Pelodiscus sinensis: one gene and its partner. The protein of the gene in region 1 binds, or shares a complex with, the protein of each later gene. Links are inferred from orthologs where the notes say so. Each region holds a gene or a part of one and is shown on either strand. Other genes may lie near its edges.

Evidence for each region.
Region 2: ADGRG1 (region 1) and CD81 share a complex: the UniProt entries of both Homo sapiens proteins name them as parts of the GPCR-tetraspanin complex. The link is inferred for Pelodiscus sinensis from reciprocal best matches to the Homo sapiens genes ADGRG1 and CD81.

What each region holds. Positions count from the first base shown.
Region 1 is NC_134722.1:45,565,310-45,575,444, forward strand, and holds the start of ADGRG1 (adhesion G-protein coupled receptor G1), read left to right. Parts: upstream 1-5,461; 5' UTR 5,462-5,536; coding exon 5,537-5,724; intron 5,725-10,135. UniProt on the Homo sapiens protein: Adhesion G-protein coupled receptor (aGPCR) for steroid hormone 17alpha-hydroxypregnenolone (17-OH), which is involved in cell adhesion and cell-cell interactions.
Region 2 is NC_134714.1:115,678,826-115,689,969, reverse strand, and holds the start of CD81 (CD81 antigen), read left to right. Parts: upstream 1-6,364; 5' UTR 6,365-6,568; coding exon 6,569-6,634; intron 6,635-11,144. UniProt on the Homo sapiens protein: Structural component of specialized membrane microdomains known as tetraspanin-enriched microdomains (TERMs), which act as platforms for receptor clustering and signaling.

The DNA of each region.
Region 1 (10,135 bases):
TCTAGCTCCCCACTTAGCTATGTCAGTTGATCTGGTTGAGCTTTGCCGGCTGTTAAACAAGGTGATCTGGACACCATGCAGGCAGAACCTCTGATGTCACTGGCCAGTCAAAATCCACACAGTGACAGGAGCAAGAGGAGGGTCTTCGCCAAGATCCCGGAAGAGTCCGTCTGGGAGAAGTGGCAGGCTTCTGGGAGGCAGGACTGTGGGAGTGTGAGCTGGAAAGCAGACTTGCCTCAGCCGTGCACAGCAGAGTGAAAGCATTTTGGGCTGCTCTCATGTCAATGCTCTGGCGGCTATTTTGGATGTCAGAGTCCATTCGGGGTCCCTGATCGACTTCTGCTCAGGTGACCGGCTAGAGCTGGCCGCAGGCGGCCCATTTGCTTGCAGCCTGCAGTGTGGTTCGGGTTTACGCGGGGCTCAGCAGGTGGGATCCTTTGAACATGGCCGACACTGGGAACAAGCTCCACAGTGGCGAGGCGTCTCCCCGGCGGGGTGAGCACTGAAGAAGGCAAGCCGACGGGCTGGCTGGAACCGACAGGGACAGAGTGTCGGTGTTTCTAGCCCCCAGGGAGGAGGTGCCGGGAGCACCGGGGCATTGTGTGAAAGAAGCTGTTTGCATATCTTTGCATAGATATTTGCATGTCTATGCACCCACACTGAAGTTGCGGCTCTCGGCATGTGCTGTGAGTATCACTGTGGGCCCTGGGTTCCAAAGCTGAGTAGCCCTGAGCTAGAGCATTGTAGCCACTGGGAAGAGCAGATGCCCTGAGAGCGAGGCCGTTCCGGATGCAGATCCAGAAAACAGGGGCTGGAACTCACCCTCCATGGTTTGCTGAGATACAACATGGCAATTGCATGGTGTGTCATTACTGGGCTGGGACTCACAGAACACTGGGACTGGAAGGGACCTCGAGAGGTCACGGAGTTCAGTCCCCTGCCCCACGGCAGAACCCAGTACCATCTCGACCAGTGGTCTCCTACCTTTTTTAGCACAAGATCACTTTCTGAATTGACGTGCAATGTAAGATCTACCCCGCACCCAAACACCCTGGCCCTGCCTCCTTCCCGCCCCTTCTCTGAGGCCCCGCCCCCTGCTCTCTCCATCCTCCCTCCCCCATCCTCCCTCACTTTCACCAGGCAGGGGCAGAGGGTTGGGGTGCAGGCTCTGGTCTTGGATTAAGGGATTTGAAGTGAGAGGGGCTCTGAGCTGAGCTTGGGGCAGGCAGTTGGGGTGCCGGAGGGGGTTCTAGGTGCAGGCTCTGAGAGGGTGTTTGGATGCAGGGGGGCTCGGGGCGGGGTTTGAGGTACAGGAGGGGGTTCCTGGCTAAGGAGGCGTTCAGGATGTGGGCTCCAGCTGGGCACTGCTCACCTCAGGTGGCTCTTGGGTAGTGATGCAGTGGGGCTAAGGCAGACTCATCCCTGCCCGGGCCCTGCCCCACTCCCAAAGGCAGCCAGCAAACTCCCTCCCAAGTCCTGTTGTGCTCCTCACTCTGCTCTATGGAGATAGGATACAGAGTGGGAGAGGGGGCACCCTGACATCAGCGTCCTCTTTTCCCTCCCCTGCCCTGCCCAGCAAGCAGGAGGCTCCCAGGGATGGGAGGAGGCAGCTCTAAGGCAAAGGGCAGGCGATGCACAGCAGTGGGGGGAGGGACAGCTGAAGTGCCAGCACTTGACAGCCTCTTGGCCAAACCAGTCAGGATCCCCTGTCAGAGGTGATCTACGAAGATCTACCAGTCGATCCCGATTGACTGGTTGGTGACCTCTGATCTAGGCCATCCCTGACAGGTGTCTGTTTAACCTGCTCTTAAATAACTCCAGCGATGGAGATTCTACAACCTCCCTAGGCAATTTATTCCGGGGGAGGAGAGGAGGAAAGAGAGGGGGAAGAGAGAAAGAGAGAGAGGAAGGAAGGAAGGGGAGGTTTTTTGATAGATGGTAGGAAAACCCCACAGACATAAAGAGTGCCCCTCAGCTACAAGGTGATTTTCAGGTAGACCATAGACCCCAAGTCTATCTGCCATGATCGCTCTGAGCTCCCAAACCCAGGCCCCCACTCCAGGTCTTGTAACCTGACCTCCGGGGTCGCAGTGCCACTCTGCCTTGTCACATCCACCCCTGCGCAGATGGAGACGAGGGTGAAGGGCCCGGCTCGCTGAACATTGACCCTAGCACACGGGGGTGCAACGCAATTCAGGTCTGGCACGTCCATCTTGCCATCTGTACCAAGGCGGACGCACAAGGCCCGAAGGGTGCAGCAACCATGCGGGCCAGGTGACAATGCTTGGAGGGAGAGGCATGGCCACTCGAAGGGGCGTGGTCTGTATTCAAATGAACCACTGGGCACTCAGCCTGAGGAAGGAGGCGTCTGGTATGTCCCTCATTAACAGACCTGAATGCCTGGCAGGAGGAGCAGGCATTAAAACCTGGGGACTTGTGCATGACTAAGCTTGTACCAGACTACCCACAAGGATTTCCTATCCGGGAGAACAAAGGAAACATTATAATACAGGCGCTAACGACTCTCCTAGTTGCAGACTGTTTGCACAAGGAGAAACTTCTGATAAGCAAGAAGGAAGAGACTTCACTGCTGGGCTCTGAGGGAGGGGGTGGGTCGAAGCAGCCTCTCCTTTTATGCCCCCGCTTGGCGGCACAAGGACACGCAGGATGCATGCGCCAGCCAGCCATCTCTGCCGGATAACAGCCTCTGGCCAGGTGCCCAGGGTGTGCACACCCCCACAACGGATTGAATCCCTGCAGAAGCACTTGAGGAAGAAAACAGCTGTTCAGCCATCAACCCTCGTCAGCTATTACAGTAAAACCGGTACCTTAGATAAGGGTTGTCTGGGGCCCACGGGCAACTCAGCTCAATAGCTCATGATCAGACCTCTCTCTGCCCCACCCCCCAGCTGATGGAGGAGTGTAGACAGAGCTCAGCCCCACGCTACAGGAGCCTGGTAGGACAGTGGCTGGGTCTGTCCCCAGACCCGCACATCGCTGTGTGGCTCCAAAGCGTGGCGCTCTCACCAGCAGAGGTTGGCCCCGTAAAGGAGATGACCTCCGTCACCTTGTCTACCCACACGTCTGGCTTCTCTCTCTTTCCCGGAGCAGGCAGATGGAGCGTAGCCGATAGCGGCGGCAACAGCAGCCACCCTCTGCCCCTGACACAGCGGCGCTGACGCTTTGTAACCCTGACTGGCCCGGGAATGAAGCGAAGTCTCTTCCCACCACTCCTGAGAGTCACACCTGTCTGATGTGGTGTCGCAGCCCAGCCAGGATCTTAGACAAAAGTGGGGCAGAGGGAGCCTGAATACCTCACTCAGGCCAGGGACCCCGTGAGGGCGACCAGATGTCCACATGTTATAGGGACAGTCCTGATATTTTGGGTGTTGTCTTATAGGGGTGTGATGGTGGCTGTGTGTGTGTAAGGATGTGACACTGGCTATGTGTATATGGGTGTGACACTGGTGCTGTGTGTGTAGGGGTCTGACACTGCATAGGAGTGTATGGGTGGCTGTGTGTGAAGCGGTGTGACACTGTGTGTGTGTGTGTGTGTGTGTGTAGAGGTATGATACTGTACAGGGGTGTGACACTGGCTGTGTGGGTGTAGCGGTGTGACACTAGGGAGGTGTAGGGGTGTGACACTGTATAGGTGTTGACGCTGGCTGTGTGTAGGGGTGTGACAGTGGCTCTGTGTGTGGAGGGGTGTGACAGTGGCTGTGTGTGTGTGGGGGGGGGTGTGGCACTGGCTGTGTGTGTGGGGGGGTGTGGCACTGGCTGTGTGTGGGGGGGGGTGGCACTGGCTGTGTGTGTGGGGGGGTGTGGCACTGGCTGTGTGGGGGGTGTGGCTGTGTCTGTGTGTGGGGGGGTGTGGCACTGGCTGTGTGTGGGGGGGGGTGTGGCACTGGCTGTGTGTGTGTAGGGGTGTGACACTAGCTGTGTGTGGGGGGGGGTGGCACTGGCTGTGTGTGTGGGGGGGTGTGGCACTGGCTGTGGGGGGGGTGTGTGGCACTGGCTGTGTGGGGGGTGTGGCTGTGTCTGTGTGGGGGGGGGGGCTGTGTCTGTGTGTGGGTGGGGGGTGTGGCTGTGTCTGTGTGTGGGGGGTGTGGCTGTGTCTGTGTGTGGGGGTGTGTGGCTGTGTCTGTGTGTGGGGGGGGGTGTGGCACTGGCTGTGTGGGGGGGTGTGGCACTGGCTGTGTGTGGGGGGGTGTGGCTGTGTCTGTGTGTGGGGGGGGGTGTGGCTGTGTCTGTGTGTGGGGGGGGTGTGTGGCACTGGCTGTGTGGGGGGGTGTGGCTGTGTCTGTGTGTGGGGGGGTGTGGCACTGGCTGTGTGTGGGGGGGTGTGGCTGTGTCTGTGTGTGGGGGTGTGTGGCTGTGTCTGTGTGTGGGGGGGTGTGGCACTGGCTGTGTGTGGGGGTGTGTGGCTGTGTCTGTGTGTGGGGGGGGGTGTGGCTGTGTCTGTGTGTGGGGGGGTGTGGCACTGGCTGTGTGTGGGGGGGTGTGGCTGTGTCTGTGTGTGGGGGGGTGTGGCACTGGCTGTGTGTGGGGGTGTGTGGCTGTGTCTGTGTGTGGGGGGGGGTGTGGCTGTGTCTGTGTGTGTGTGGGGGGGTGTGGCACTGGCTGTGTGGGGGGTGTGGCTGTCTCTCCGCGCACAGCCGGCCGGAGGGGGCGGGGTAACTCGCAGACTCAGGGCGGCTCCGCAGGACGCTGCAGGTGAAGCCGCCCCCGCCCCCCTGGAGGTCGCTCGCGGGCGCCGCTGCAGCCCAGCCCGCCTGGCCCCGGCCGGGTCTCGCCTCGGAGCGCTCCCGCCGGACGCGGCTCGCCCTGCAGCAGCACCAAGGTACCGGCTCGGCGGCGCCTCCCCCGCCGCTGGTGGGCAGAGCCCGGGCCCGTGGGGCAGGGATCGGGCCCCGGGCCGGGCCGTCGCCTCCCCCGCGCTCCCGCCCAAGGAGGCTGCAGGCGCCGGGAGGGCTCTCCCGGGACCGGGGCGAAGGGGGCTCCCGTGCGGGGGGCCCGGAGCCAGCGAGCGCCCAGCCCGGCCCTGCCCGCCCCGCCGGGGCTCCTGGAGCAGCCCGGCTGGGGCCAGGTGCGGCTTTGCTCGCTCCGCAGGGCGGGGGCGTTTCAGGGCGCACCTGGCGCTGTAGCTGCGCGGGGATTTGCAGCCGGGGCTGGGTCCGAAATGTTTCCGTGGCCCTGGGGCAGGCTGCGCCCCCCCCCGCCCCCCCACGGTCTCCTATAGGGCGAGCAGCTCTGGCGATCACAAAGCAGCCTTCCCTCCGCGGCGTCTCCGCGCTGCCCGGGGGAGGGGCGGGCCCAGGCGGGCTCCTGCGCTCCTTCCAGCTCGCCTCCCCCCTCCGGGATTCCTGAGGGAGCCCAACTTTCTCTAGCCGGAGCTAGAGCAGCCTGGGTGCCCTGCTTGGCCAGCAGGAGACAGAGCGATGGGGTCAAGCTGGGGTGTGTGTGTGGGGGGGGAGGGTGACTTCCTTGGGGCCTGAATTCCGATATTTGCCCACCCTGGGGTGTGTTTTCCAGCTGGATGGGTCTGGCCCGTCCTAGGCAGCGGGGAGTCATTGCCATTAAACAGTTAACACTCCCCCACCCCACCAGCTGCCCGGCACAGCTGACCACAGGCTCTTGGAGAAATGTCCCACTGCAGCAGCCCAGGACTCAGCTGTGCCAACACCTGCTGGGGAGCAGCAGGGATCTGACCACAGAGTCAGGCAGGTAAGGAGAAACTGGAGTGGTGGAGGAGGGAGGAGAGTTTTATTCCAGCCGGGTGTGAGCAGTCTTCTTGGTGGATGGATCCCGCCCTTCAGGTCTGGCGAGCCTCCTGCAATGTTGCCCCACCTCTTTCTATTTGTGGACTAAGGATGTTAAGAGGCAGGCAATGAAGTAATTGTGTAGTCGATACCGTTTGTATCAACTACGGGATTAGTCGGTAAGGGAAGGTGCTACCCCAGCTGTGGTTCTGCAGTTTAAATCTAGTAAGAGTCAGGACCATGGTGGACAGAAGCGGCTGCCTTTTACTACATTTTAAATAGCAGAGCCATGGCTGGGGTAGCTCCTTCTGAGGGCCTTTCTGTATTGACTGTCCTTAAGCATCCTTAATGAAAAGGCTCAGAGGGATAGCTGGGTTAGTCTGTAACTTGAAAAACCACGAGTAGTCTTGCGGTATCTTAGGGACTAACAAAAAAAATGGAATCATGAGCTTTCGTGGGCTTTGCCCACGAAATTGGAGTGGAAATAACAGAAAACCAGATGTATATATTTAACAGCAGAACAAGTACCTGTCAATTGTAGGGCCTGTGTTAATGAGGCGAATTAAGTGGTCTGGATGTGTCCCGTTCACAGCATTTGTTGTGAAAATGTGCATGATAGAGGCAGGAGAAATTGGCTTTTCTTTGTGCCAACCAGTTAAGGTGTTTGTTCAAGCCTACGGTAACAGTGTCAAATTTGAAGATGAATTCCAGTTCTGCAGACGCTCTCTGTAATTGGTTAGTGAAATTCCTTTGTAGAAGAATGGCTACTTTTAAATCCATGATTGAGTGACCAGGAAGATTAAAATGTCCCCTGACAGGTTTATGCATGTTATGGATTCGAACAGAGGTTCCTGCAACGACCATTAGGCATAAGTGTCTGCTCCACGTTTGTGCCCTTACTGGACATAGCTGGAGTTTGCACTGTTGTAACCAGGTTGGTCCTGGGATATTAGAGGGACAAGGGGGTGGTGAGGTCATAGCTTTTATCGGACCAACTTTGGGTAGTGGGCGAGACCTGGCGAAGAGAGCCGCCTGCGGTCCCACAGCTCAGGGAGGAGGGAGAACGTGCTGAGAGAGGTGCTGGAAGGCTGACATGGCTGATTTAGACAACTTGCTGCCCCAGGCCGGGTGGGAATTTTGCCCTGGCGCTTTCTGCCTGGCGCTGTCTGCACGGCTGTGACCTGCAGGGTTCGCGCAGCTCAGGCCGTGACGATAAATGTTACATATTTGACTGCCGTCCAAATCTTAATCCAGCGACTGGAGAGATGGGAGTGGGGGAGGGAGAAGATCAGAGGGCGGCAGGTTTGTAAACAACAGCAGGCATGGTGGGAAAGGAGAGCTCGTGGCGCTTTAAAGCTGGGCTGGTGGAAGGCTGGGAGCTGTTCCCAGAGCTTGCTATGCTCTGTTGGGTTTGATGGAGATGGTTTTCTTTAGCAGCCATCCCTCACAATGAAACAGCAGGGCGGGGGGAGGGGAGTGGGGCTGCCACTGGACTGCTGAGTCCGACCATTGAGTTTTTAGCTGCTCTGTTGAGACCATCTCGGGACCTAATTGGTGCCGCTGTAGGTGGTGGTTTTGACACCTGCTCCCACGTAGCCACGCGGGGACCCACCAACACGTTTCCCAGCAGCTCCGAAGCAGCTGCTACCCGGGGCTAACGTCTTGCTCGCTCCCACCCTGGGCTGGGCTAGAAGCGGGGATTCTAGCTACGGAGGGAAAGCGTGCACGAGGCGTAACGAGGAGGGAAAGTGGTGACACACAGAGCTGGAATGAACGCTAAGTGGTGTGTCATGGGAAATGGTGGCGAAAGCCAACTCCAAGCCCTTTCTTTTAGACAGGCTGATGGCTCTTTACGAACCATTAACTGATAAGTCATGGCCATTCCCCCTGCCCCCCACCCCACCCCACCCCCACGTCCTGCTCTGGACACGTGGTGAGCCAGAGTGTGAGACATTCGCGGAGGCGGCTCGTGAAGCAGGAGGGTGGCAAAGCCCTCACGGCCCGAGGCAGCTGAGAAGCCGGCCAGAGGAAGCCCACCTGTTAGAGGGGGAGCCCCATAGAGAGGGGAGAGCAACTCCTCTGCCCCCCCCGCTCCTGACGGTTGGCAGAGGTTGGCAGACGTCTGCCTTGGGGGCGGAATGCTGTAGCTGATTAACTGATAAGCAAAAGCTTTATAGGTTAATGCATTTCCCCCCCCCCCCCCCCACAAATTGTTTAGCTGGCTCAGTGCCCGGTCTGAGACCTACCCACGCTGTGGCTCTGCATTTAAAGTGTATCAGGAGCCAGGCAGCCTGGCTCAGTTCTGGCTCGTGCAGGATCCGGGAGCTCAGCACCCACCCTGGACAGCAGCGCGGGGTGGCAGGCACCCGGTCCTCGTGAGGAGCTGGTTTTTAAACAGGCTCCTCTAATGGACCAGCACCCACAGGGTACACCACGCTGCTGCCTCTGATTCAGAGCAGCAGTGTGGGGTGATGGGGCTCCTTGGGGGTGTGGCCAGTGTGCGCTGGCTGCTGGCCCCGCCCCCAGGGACTATAGAAGAGTCGAGTAACTGATAAAAACTCACGAGGTTAATCGACTATTCAGTTAACTTCCCTACGCTGCCTGTCTCCAGCTGCCATAATAGGCCATTGGAGACCCCAACGAGGGGACCGCTGGCTCTGATTCGTGCTGGGGACTGAACAGCTGAGGATCGGGGCCCTCTCAAAGCCATCTTTGCCTCCACCCCCATCCCACTGTGCACCGAGGGTGAGATGGCGGGTGCAGAAGGGCAAGCCCCATGGAGCTCAGGGAGGAAGCCGGCTTTAAGACACTGCTGGGCCTTGGGATTTGGGGCTACTTCCGGGATTTAAATAACCTTCCAGCAGGGGAGCGAGGGAAGTCTCCTCCCACACCAGGGGCATGGGCATCTTGGGGGAACTTGGGGTGGGGCAAAGGCACTCCCTCACCCCCAGACCTGTCATTGTCTGAGGGTGGGAACCCAGAAATATCTTGCCCTGCCCCTTCCGCTCAATGCCCGGAGCCACTTCCAAACTTTTCGAAGTGGCCCCTGGCAAAAAATTATTGCCCGTCCCTGCTCTAGACACTGCTGGCCCACTAGGTCTGAGGATCGGGGCCCACCGCTATAGCAACAGTCCCTGCGTGGCCTAGGTTTGGTCACCGAAGCCACGGCTGTGGCAGACGCCCTGTGACCCATCCCCCTCGCGCCTCCAAGCTCCCAAGAAGGTTTGCCAAGCCCTGCCTCCCCCCTTTCCAGGGCAGAGCACAAAGGCTCTTGTGCGGGCGGATGCATGGCCCCAGGTTGTGTGACTCACTCCCCGCTCCGCTCCCTGGCACTTGGCAGGTGGCCCGCTTGCCCTTGGGTGTCACATGAGTTTCTGCCATTCCCGAGGAATTCTGCATTCATTGAAGAGCCGTAAACATTCGGCAAGTCGTGATCAGACTACAAAGGAGTCTATAAAAGCACATTGAGGCTGACGGGTCAAAGGGCTGTCTGCACACAATGCTGCCAGTCTGTGGGTCTGATTTGAATCCCTGTACCCTGGTTTTCTCTTTTCTGTGGGCCGCTGACTGCCTGGCATTTTCCGTGGTTGAAGGCTCCTCGAAGAGGTGTGTCAGACCAGGGTGCGCTTACACCTCGCAGGAGGGACGGTGGGGAGAGAGGCCCAGCCGTGGCAGAGAGGAGAGTAGGACTTGCACTGTCACCAGTTTCACAATTTCCGAATTAACCTGTCTAGGCACCTTCAGGCGGATTCTCTGCAGCGTGGGCTGAAGGCTGAGAGACTCAGCCTGTCTCAAAGCCCTTTGTTATCCCTGAATTATACATCTTAAGGGCTTGTCTACACTGCTACTTCACTGCGCCGTAACTTTCTCACTCAGGGGTGTGAAAAACACCTCCCCTCCCTTCCCCCGAGTGCAGCAAGTTACAGTAGCTGTTAGCTACTCCCATCGTGTTTTAGGTGGTTTAACTAACGCGCTCCCAGCGCCGGTGCCGTGACCACACTCATGTGTCAAGGTGTTGCTGCAACAGCGCTTTAAACTTACAATTGCAAAGAAAAGATAAGGCACAGCGAGATGTATGGTGTGCGGCAAAACAGCTGTTCGAGAAGTCAGCGCCAGAGGTGGGAACAGATCCCACAGCTCTGGACTCCCAGCATTAGCCACTTCTGTAGTTTTACCTCTCTCCTGCATGTTCGCTGGCACCTGTAAGTGACTGTCTTGCCACAGCTGTTATAACTGTCAGTGACTGACATTTGTGAGAACATAAGAAGGGCCACACCGGGTCAGACCAAAGATCCATCTAGCCCAGTGTCCTGTCTTCTGACAGTGGCCAATGCCAGATGCCCCAGAGGGAGGGAACACAACAGGTAATCCTCACG
Region 2 (11,144 bases), on another chromosome or scaffold:
GCATGGAAGGAGTAGGGCCATACTTCCCTGTCTTCCTTCTCCATGGGGGAATGGTTTCTCTGTGAGTGCCCCGGGAGAATAATACCTGTCGTTACTTCCTTCTAGAATACAGAAGGATTAAACTAGCCTGAGCAAAGCCTGTCATTTTGCTGGTAAGAAACACTAATTTGCTTCATATTTACACACATCTAACTCTGCAGTTTTACCCAATAGCCAAGGCTCAGATCTTCAGAGGACCCAACTCGTATTTATTTCATTGGGAATTAGGCACCTAATTATCTTTGAGGCTCTGGGGCCAAGTGGATTTCCACACCATCCATAGCTTTACAGATCTCTGCTTTCCCAATAAGGTCACATGAGAGAAACACAAGTTTTGACATGGTACTTTCATTTACCCATAATAAAATGGACACCAGTGATTCAAAAGCTATAATAAACACTGTGCTGCTGGGCCCCCCTCTTGTTCCTTTCTGGTACATTCCTAGAAGCTGGAGTGCTTGTCACGGAATGTGTTTCTCTGATACCAGTGTAAGTTTACAGGAAACCTGGATGTATTGCACCACCAGCTGATTTAACCCAGAAAATATGATTCCCTTCAGGGTGAACAGATTTCATCTGGTTGTAATTTGGTAGCAAACTGACCCATCTCTAGTATAAGGAAATAAAATATGCATGTGTTGCCAACAAGTGGATATAATTCCAGTGTTGAAGTGTGGACACTCTGGATAATTTCACATTGAATCAAACTGATCTCAGGCTAAACTGATGGAAGGCTCAGCATTGCAGTTCTGGAATACTGTATTTGAAATGTTCCCGGGGGGATATTTAATTCCAATACAGATTATAACAGAAGACCAAACAAAAAATGCTGTTATAATTAAAGCACTGACTAAGGATCAGGAATGTATGGGTTCAGTTCTTGGCTTTACTACAGACTGTGTGTGTGAAAAGAGGATAATCACTCAATAGCTCTGTGCCTCAGTTCCGCATCTGTAAAATAGGGATATTCCCTTTTTTCATCTTGTTTAATAAAATTGTAAGCTCTTTGCAGCAAGGACTCGCTGGCCTAAGAATCAGTGGGAGGTAGGTGTCCAAATACCTTTGAGGATCTGGATCTCTCTTACTATGTGTATATAAAATACTCAGAACAATGGGATCTGGATCTTCGTTGGCACCTGTAGGTGCTACATTCATAAATAATAGTTTTGCCATCTTCATTTTGATATTATTCTCCCTATGTAGTTCAGACATTATCTCCAGCAAGTTCTTGGAATGTACTGGAGACATTTTTTTTTAATTTCAGAAGGTGAGAAAGCTATTGGAGGGAAGCAGTTCTAGATTTGATTTTAACAAGTAGGAAGGAATTGATTGAGAATTTGAAAGTGGAAGGCAACTTGGATGAAAGTGATCATGCAATGATAGAGTTAATGATCCTAAGGAATGGTAGGAGGGAAAAAAGCAAAATAAATCAATGAATTTCAAGAAGGCAGACTTTAATAAACTCAGGGAATTGTTAGGGAAGGTCCCATGGGAAGCAAGTCTCTTGGGCTACGTCTACACTGCAGTGCTATTTCAGGATACCAGAGGTATCCCAAAATAGCTATTCTGCGTCTTTTGAGCATACCTGTTATTTCAAAATATAACAGGCTTACTATTATGGCATCCCTCTAAACCTCATTCCACAAGGAGTAAGGGACGTTTCGGAATAGCGATTTATTTTGAAATAACTGCTGAGTAGACAGCACTACATTTTGAAATAAGCTATTTCAAAGTTGACTCAAAATAAGCTATGCAATTTGCATAGCTCAAATTGCATAGATTATTTCGAGCTATGAGTGCAGTATTGACACACCTTAAGAGGAAAAAAAAATTGGAGAGTTGGCAGTTTTTCAAAGGGACATTATTAAGGGTGCAAAAGCAAACTTTCCTACAACACAGGAAAGATAAGAAGTACGGAAGAGACCACGCTGGTTTAACCAGGAGATCATGAGTGATATGAAAATCAAAAAGGAGTCCCACAAGAAGAAGAAACTAGATCAAGTTATAAAGGATGAATACAGACAACAAAACTATGTATGGGGCAAAATTAGAAAGGCATAGGCTCAAAATGAACTCAAACTAGCTAGTGACATAAAGGGTAACAAGAAAATATTCTACAAATGTTTTAGAAGGGGAAGGACAGGTTGGAACCACTACTCAGTAAAGAGGGGAAAACAATAACAAAAATGTGGAAATGGCAGAGGTACTTAATGGCTTCATTTTGGTTGTCGCTAAGATGGCTGGTGGTGATTGTACACCTAGCATTGTGATTGCTGGTGAAAATAAGGTAGGTTCCGGAGTTAAAAAAAATTAGAAAAAGAATAAATTAACAATTACTTGTACAAGCTAGATGTCTTCAAGTTCCCAAGGCCTGATGAAATGCATCCTAGAATACTCAAAGGAGCTGATTGAGGAGATATCTGAGCCATTAGCCATGACTTTTCAAAGATAATACAAGACAGGAAAGATTCCAGAAGCCTGGAAAAAGCCCACCTATAAAAAGGGAAATAAGGACAACCCAGGAAATACAGGCCAGTCATTTTCACTTTTGTAACAGGAAAGATCATGGCACAAATAATTAAGGAATCCACTTGCAAACATCTAGAAGATAATGAGAGAAGAAACAGTCAACATGGATTTTTAAAGAACAAATCATGTCAAACTAACCTGATAGATTTCTTTGATGGCATAGCAAACCTTGTTGATAAGAGGAAGTAGTAGAAGTGGTCTACCTAGACATTAGAAAAGCTTTGGATTCAATCTCAAATGTCTTTCTCATTAATAAACTAGTGAAATACAACGTAGAGTGGACTACTATATAGTGGGTGCATAACTGGTTGATTATTCCCAGAGAGTAATTATCATGGCTCGACAAACCGCGGCGAAATCCACTTGCCAGCCCCACACCATGCATGCGCCAGACCCGCACTGCGCATGTGTGCACCGCCAGTGAACAGGGCGACCGGCTAAAATCTACTCGCCACAGGCGAGTAGATAAAAAGGTTTGTCGAGCCCTAATAATTATCAATAGTTCACAGTCATTATGGAAGGACATAATGAGTGGGGTCCCACAGAGCTTGGTAATGGGTCTGGTTCTGTTCACTATCATCATCAACGATTTATATAATTACATATAGAATATTCGTATAAATTTTGTGGAAGATCCCAAGCTGGGAGGGGTTGCAAGTGCTTTGGAGGATAGGATTATAATTCAAAATGATCTTGACAAACTGGACAAATGGTCTCAGGTAAATAGGATGAAATTCCATAAGGACAAATGCAAAGTACTCCACTTGGGAAGGAAAAATCAACTGCACACATGCAAAATGGGAAATGACTAGGGTTGCCAGGTGTCCGGTTTTGAACCAGACAGTTCAGTATTTGAGCGTTCTGTTCGGGAAACAAATTGAGAAAATATAAATGGCCGGTATTTTCTAAATAAGATGTAATGTAGATTGTGATGTAATGTCAAGTGTGTCCAGTATTTTTGCTGAAACCATTTGGCAACCCTAATGACTGCCTAGGAAGGAGTACCGTATTTTCCGGCGTATAGGGCGACTGGGTGTATAAGACGACCCCCTATCTTTTTAATTAAAAGATAGGGTTTCATCTTATACCCCAGCGCCCCTCCGCCTCCTTTGCTCCCGGTGTCCCTGGTCTGCTGGAGATGGTCCCCAGCAGACCAGAGGCACCGGGAGCAAAGCCGCCAGGAGCGCCTGGGCTGCCCCCCCCCCCCCCCGCCGGAGCCCCTCCGAGGCTTTGAAAGCCTCGGGGGAAGCCGGCGGGGGGGCATCCCAGGCGCGCATGGGCTGCCCCCCCGCCGGAGCCCCTCCGCGGCTTTGAAAGCCTCGGGGGAAGCCGGCGGCGGGGCATCCCAGGCGCGCATGGGCTGCCCCCCCGCCGGAGCCCCTCCGCGGCTTTGAAAGCCTCGGGGGAAGCCGGCGGCGGGGCATCCCAGGCGCGCATGGGCTGCCCCCCCGCCGGAGCCCCTCCGCGCCACCGCGGAGGGGCTCCGGCAGGGGGGCAGCCCATGCGCGCCTGGGATGCCCCGCCGCCGGCTTCCCCCGAGGCTTTCAAAGCCGCGGAGGGGCTCCGACGGGGGGGCAGCCCATGCGCGCCTGGGATGCCCCGCCGCCGGCTTCCCCCGAGGCTTTCAAAGCCGCGGAGGGGCTCCGTCGGGGGGGCAGCCCATGCGCGCCTGGGATGCCCCGCCGCCGGCTTCCCCCGAGGCTTTCAAAGCCGCGGAGGGGCTCCGGCGGGGGGGCAGCCCATGCGCGCCTGGGATGCCCCGCCGCCGGCTTCCCCCGAGGCTTTCAAAGCCGCGGAGGGGCTCCGACGGGGGGGCAGCCCATGCGCGCCTGGGATGCCCCGCCGCCGGCTTCCCCCGAGGCTTTCAAAGCCGCGGAGGGGCTCCGGCGGGGGGGCAGCCCATGCGCGCCTGGGATGCCCCGCCGCCGGCTTCCCCCGAGGCTTTCAAAGCCGCGGAGGGGCTCCGGGGGGGGGGGGGCAGCCCATGCGCGCCTGGGATGCCCCGCCGCCGGCTTCCCCCGAGGCTTTCAAAGCCGCGGAGGGGCTCCGACGGGGGGGCAGCCCATGCGCGCCTGGGATGCCCCGCCGCCGGCTTCCCCCGAGGCTTTCAAAGCCGCGGAGGGGCTCCGACGGGGGGGCAGCCCATGCGCGCCTGGGATGCCCCGCCGCCGGCTTCCCCCGAGGCTTTCAAAGCCGCGGAGGGGCTCCGACGGGGGGGCAGCCCATGCGCGCCTGGGATGCCCCGCCGCCGGCTTCCCCCGAGGCTTTCAAAGCCGCGGAGGGGCTCCGGCGGGGGGGCAGCCCATGCGCGCCTGGGATGCCCCGCCGCCGGCTTCCCCCGAGGCTTTCAAAGCCGCGGAGGGGCTCCGGGGGGGGGGGGGCAGCCCATGCGCGCCTGGGATGCCCCCCCGCCGGCTTCCCCCGAGGCTTTCAAAGCCGCGGAGGGGCTCCGGCGGCGGTGCATCCGGCGTACAAGACGACCCCCGATTTTGGGGGGATGTTTTTTAACATCAGAGGTCGTCTTGTACGCCGGAATATACGGTATTGCAGAAAGGGATCTAGAAGTCATAGTGGACCGCAAACTAACTACAAGTGAACAGTTTGACACTGCTGCAAAAAAAGCAAACCTCATTCCAGTATGTAAAAACAGAAGTGATATAAGCCAGTGTTTCTCATCCTTTTTTATAAAGTACCCCTTCACAAAAAATATATATATATAAGTACCCCCAGTACCTACAGTTTTCAGACACACAATTTTTTTCTACCATTGCAACACCTTTGTTTAAACAACTTCATCGTAGCAGGGTGGGCGCTGAAATTTGTGGGTCTAAAAAGTACAAAAATAATAAAACGCAATAAAACTTAAAACAAAAATTCAGTTTTCTCCAAATTTCAATTGTGTTGACATATCCCCCACACTTCTCTTGAGTACCCCTAAGGGTACTCGTACCACTGGTTGAGAAACACTGATATAAACAAGACACAAGCAGCAAGATTTCCACTCTACTCTACACTGATTAGGCCTCAGATGGAGTGCTTAAGTTTACTTCCCTAAGTAGTCACATTGATTTCAATGGGAGTAGTCCCCACAGTATAGTTAAGCATGAGTAAGCATGAGACTGGGATGTGGGGGTGCAGGAGTCTTAGCTGGTGTGTATAATGGGCACAGAGTTGGAGTGTGGGGGTGCAGGGATGTTATGGCAGGGGCTGGGGTTGTGGGGGGTGCAGGAGTCCAGGTTGGGATGTATAAGGGGCTGAGGACAGGGGGTTGAGGTGTATGATGGGCTAAGGGAACAGGGTTGGGGCTTGGGGGGGTGCAGGGGTGTTATGGCAGGGAGCTGGGGATGCGAGGGTGTTTTGTGGCATCAGGTCTAATACAAATTATACATATTAGATGGGGATGGGGCCGGGGGGGGAAATCAATGCGCAAAAGCTTTCCCAAATTTAAAACGGCCAGATTTAACCTGAACTACCCCAAATTTCCAGCAGGCATCTGGAAAAATTCCCAGGCACAGAGCGGCTCCACTGCTGAATTCAATGATCCTTTAGCAATATATTTTTCAGTAGTCACTTTGATTTGTAAACCGGGACCCAGAGCTACTTATCCATCAGTCTCCTCTCAGAGTTGCTTGAGAACGGCCAAGTATTATTATTTATTATTATTATTATTATTTATTATCATCTCTGTGGCATTTCAGACGTGGGTTGAAAGTCGGCGGGGGGACTTTGGGCTGGCTGCCCCCAGGAGGCGGTAGCCTCTTCTGGAAAAACGACCTACGTCTGAGTGGGAGGATCCTGGCTTAGCAACAGAGTCGGGGGGTGTCTGTAGTGGAAGGAGGGAGGAGATAAAGCGGAGAAACAGCCTAGCACCTCGCCAGTCAGCGGAAGTCCCAAAGGAAAACAGAGAGGACCACCCTCTACAAGAGCTGCGGCGCTTTTGCTCGCTCTGATTTAACAGGCCCCGTCTGGCAGGCAGCTCTGCCCACCGACCTCTGCCGCCATGGGAGTGGAAGGCTGCACCAAGTGCATCAAATACCTGCTCTTCGTCTTCAATTTTGTCTTTTGGGTGAGTGCGCTTCTTCCCCCCTGGTCTCGCGGCGCTGCAGGGGGCGGCGTGGTGTCTCCTGCGATGCGTGGGGGGCTGTGTTGTGTTTTCTCCTCCTGGCTGGGGGGGGGGGGGGGAAGATTCCCTCCCCCAAACAATGCAGCGGGCTCAGCATGGAGCGGCGACTTGGCTTTGCTTGGTGTGAGCTGGAGGCGCAAAACCTCCTGCCCCGAACCGCTACGAGCGATGAGGGAGCTGCAGAGGGCTTGGAAGATGGAGGAGGCTTAGCCCAGGAAAAATGGTTGTTGCATTGGAAACACACAAGGGCCTGAGCCGTGAGCTCTTCCTATCCTGCTAAGGAACCGTTCAGAATTGGGTTTTTTTTTAAAAAAAAAAATATCCCCGTAAATCTAGAGGTGGGTTTTAACGGGCTGTTACATTCGGAAGGCTTTCGTTGATTGATCCAGGGTTAAAATGCACCGACGCCCTCCAGAGTTAGTAAACCACCTGTAAACTGAATTGGTAGACGCTTGGGAGGCATGGAGGAGCTCTGTTTATCTCTGCTGAGTGGAGAAGGTGTGGGTACTAAGTCTGGTGCGTAGTTACATAACATCTGAGGGTGTTTCGCTCGTGGGAATGAGTTATAACTACATCTGCAGACCGATTTGTCTTCTGGCGTTCTAGTAGATGGGCACTAAATAATCACTAAAGCGTGCAAACCCGTGATTAGAGGCTGGAAACTGGAGTCAGACCTGTTTCTCCCCCCCCCCTTTCCTTTCCTTTCCTTTTTTTTAAAGGGGGGGAACCTCTTCTATAAAGATTTTTTATCTGTGTAATTAGTTTTGATGCCAAATGTTCTAATATGTAGAGTGAAGTTGGCTCTAAAAAACAAATTAGCTCAAAATGAGGAGACACGTAAACCTGATTTTAAAAAAATCTATCTAGTGCTCCTCCTCTTCTGGTATTGCGAACAGGGAATCCGGACAGAGTGGGGGAGGATGTTTCCCAGCCTTGAGATATGAATGGGAAACTGTTGCTGTGAGATTAAGACTGAGAGTTAGGGTTGGTTGCTTGGGAAAGGGCTGCTACGGGTAGGAAGGAGAGAGTTAAAAGCCAGTTAGTTGTTTATAAGCTAGACAAATTAGGACGAGCTACATAGAAGGGCGATCTACACCCCTCCCATCGTCTCGCACTCTCTCCCTGCTTGGAGAATTTTGCAGGGACCACACCCCGAATCTCGGGAAAATCTTTGCCTGAGTTTCCACGGCTCTAGATTTTAGAAGAGATCCGGTTTTGGTTGTTTTTAAGTAACGGTCTGAAGAACTTGAGCCCTGTTGTTTTTCATGTTATTTGAGAAGTAAATCTTACCCTGTACATAGCAAGAGGGGTTTTCTAGTAGTTGCCTGCAATGAATAGTTAATCAGCTCTACACCACTGTGTTAATTGAACAATAGGTTGCATAGGCCTGTCTGTGTAATAAGGTCAACATGTTTGTCCCAGTTATGAGCCCCCCCCCCCCAGGGTTTTTTTGTGGGTGAAGGGCTGTGTTCTTTGTTCTGTTTGGCTATTTATTTCTCATGCCTTTTCCTTCCTGAGTTGGAGCTGATGTGTCCAGTTATTGCTGGACATGTTAGGGTCAGTCAGTGATGCTTTGGTGCTAGGATGACCAGGGCTGTCTCAGATGATTGGTGGTTCTTGCAGCTTTTTTACAGCCTGTGCAGTAGTGGAACACCACCTCCCTGCCCTGCTTTTGCTGGCAGGAAAGGATACATCCGTTTTCACCCTACTTTTAAACTGAGTTGACCGCATATATTTCCATTGATCGGACCCCACCACTGAGCAGCACCATCTCAGAGAGGCAGTTTAGACTAGAGGGAGACACTGCTGGGAACTCCTTTTCATTCCCATGAAATTCTGGTTCCCTGGGAATCCCTGGCTCCGCTGACAGCTAGAAAATGCAGTGCCTGGAACTGTGAAATGAAGCGTTCACTGAGGGTGAAGTCTGAAGTTTTTAAAAAATATTATTTTGAAACACCCATTTCTTCTTGGTTGTGTGAACTGACAGCACTTGTTCAAGATAATCTGTTTATATGATTCCATCCCCATCCCACCCCAGCTAGTGAAAGATGATTATCTACAAATGTCTTCTTTTCTGGTTTGCTGGTCATAGACACAGGAAACACTGCTTTAACCGATAACTGATTGTGTTTTCTGGGGATTTCCTATTTATTTGCTTCCCTGGGCTCCAGCTCTCCTCTCCTCAGTAAGTTGGCAGCACTTTTAACTTGGGCCATACTGCCAAGCATGCCTAATCTGCAAGTAGCTATACTGGCAAAGCTGTACTTATAGCAGTATAATGTATTCCACACACCTACAGTCCCATCCCCCCCCCAACACACACACAGTACCAGTAAAAAATAAAAAAAAGTCTAAGGGGTAGCTGTGTTAGTCTGTAATTTAAAAAAAATTCCCACGTCCAGCCCTTTTAATTAGCTTCATAATTGTCCAATAATGTCTGATGATGTCTTCATAATAGTCTGATAATTGTCCGGTACTTCTTTTGCATTTATATATACACCTTGGATTCTGTTATTTCCACTCCAACTCATCTGATGAGCTGAGCTCATAATCCTATATGTTTTTGTTAGTCTCTAAGGTGCCATAGGACTACTTATTGTACCAGTCAAAGCACAATTTTGTTAGTATAATGACATCTGTAATAGGGGCTGGCATAGCTGTGTCTGTCTGGGACCATGCCACTGATTGATGACTAATGCCAGCAGAAGTCTGTAGTGTAGATGTGATCTCATTTTGCAGTGCTGTGAACTTCTCTGGCACCTTTCCTCAGAAGATCTTGAATATTTACAAGCATGGATGGCTTAATCAACATGGCTCTGGCCATGAAAGCATCAGTTCCATTTTACAGATAGGTAAAGTGACACCCAAGGGCATCCAGAGAGCAAGTTTTCAATCTGGGAGTGGAACTTCAGACTTTTTGCTGTTCCAACTGCTGGACCACATGTCTGCCCTCTGTTATCCTTTCCCATGTATTCAGTACTACTGTCTGGACACACTGGCATCTCCTTAATTCCCCTTTAAAGTAAGTTCAACTGCAACCCACCCTTGTTGCACTGCATGTTCTCCAATGTAATAGCTCCCTATGAAATCATAACCAGAACGTAGACACTTCATCTCTGGTGTACATTCATGTTTAAAAATGAGCCTCATGCAATATTTCCAACAGTCTCATTATAACAAGATTGTAGAAAATTAGCATCTTCATCTAAGCACCATATTTTGGAGTCACTGCTCTTTCCTTCTTTGTTCCTTCCCAGTTACCTAGTTCATCAAGGAGCTTTTTCTTTTCTTTGTCCTAGTTTCCTGGCTTAGTTGTGGGTTTTTTTGTGTGTTGGTTTTTTTTTGACTGGGGGGGAAGTTGTTCTTTGTGGCGACGCTAAGCTCCAGCAGGAAGGATGTACAGCAACTATATGAACAACATGCAGTTGCAGAGCAAACCTGCCTGTTCACATCCACCCTGGTCTGTCTCATAGGAAATGACTGTTTTCCTAATTGTGTCAATGTTGCTTTTTCGTAGAGACTAGTGCACTCTCTTTTCTCTCTTTTGAAAATGTCCTTAATGAAGAGACCCTTTCCTGCGTCTGTCAAGAGAGGGACAGAGCCTCCTCCCCCCTCTGCCTTCCTTTCCAATAGAGCTATTTTATTTGACACTGGGAGGAGGAGGAGGTGGTCAAGGACTGGTAGAGCTGGAGTTGTGCTCTAAGTTCATTAGAAGGGCTGTTTAATAGTGGCATTTTGCACCTACTATTAAAAGCCATGGCCCATGTTTCCAGAAGTGACTAGTGTGTTTTGGCTGCCTAGCTCGAGAGATCCTGATTGCTCCTTCTTCAGAGAAGGAATAGAAGTGCCTCCTATTTGTTCCATGAATAATGGAATGTTCAGACTGTCAGAAATGGTCCTGAGAGGCATTGAACTCCCCAAAATACAGGATGTCTAGTCTTAGTGCTGGAATCTCCACCAGGAAGAGAACACTCTAAAGAGGCAAAGCAAACGTACCTACAGGCGTGTCAGCAACACACAGTGGCAATTATTCTGCTGATTTAAGGATTGGCACAAAGGACTCCCTTGTAAATCTGTTTTGGAACTGGGAGCAATAGCATGGGAACCTCATAGGTGGCAGAAGCTTCATCAAGTGAGCTGTTTCGAACCCAGCACAGATGACAGACTGCTTTGGCCCTGTTGAGCCTCCATCCATTGGTGCCATCCTTGTTCCCACTCAGGACTAAGAGTTGAGAACTATGCCCGCCCATCATTCTGAAGGTTTTGACTGGTACCTTTCCATGGGTAGTTGGTTGTGGTTGGGATCAGCACATAAGCTGTGTCTGTCTCCACTACTGACCCTCGTTATCAAGCAGTTTCATCCCAAATGATGCTTGCTTAGAGGCTCAGAAGCTGGGAGATGTCTTGGGGCAGTTGTGGGCAACCCTGCAGCCCAGTGAGGTCATAAGTGTGG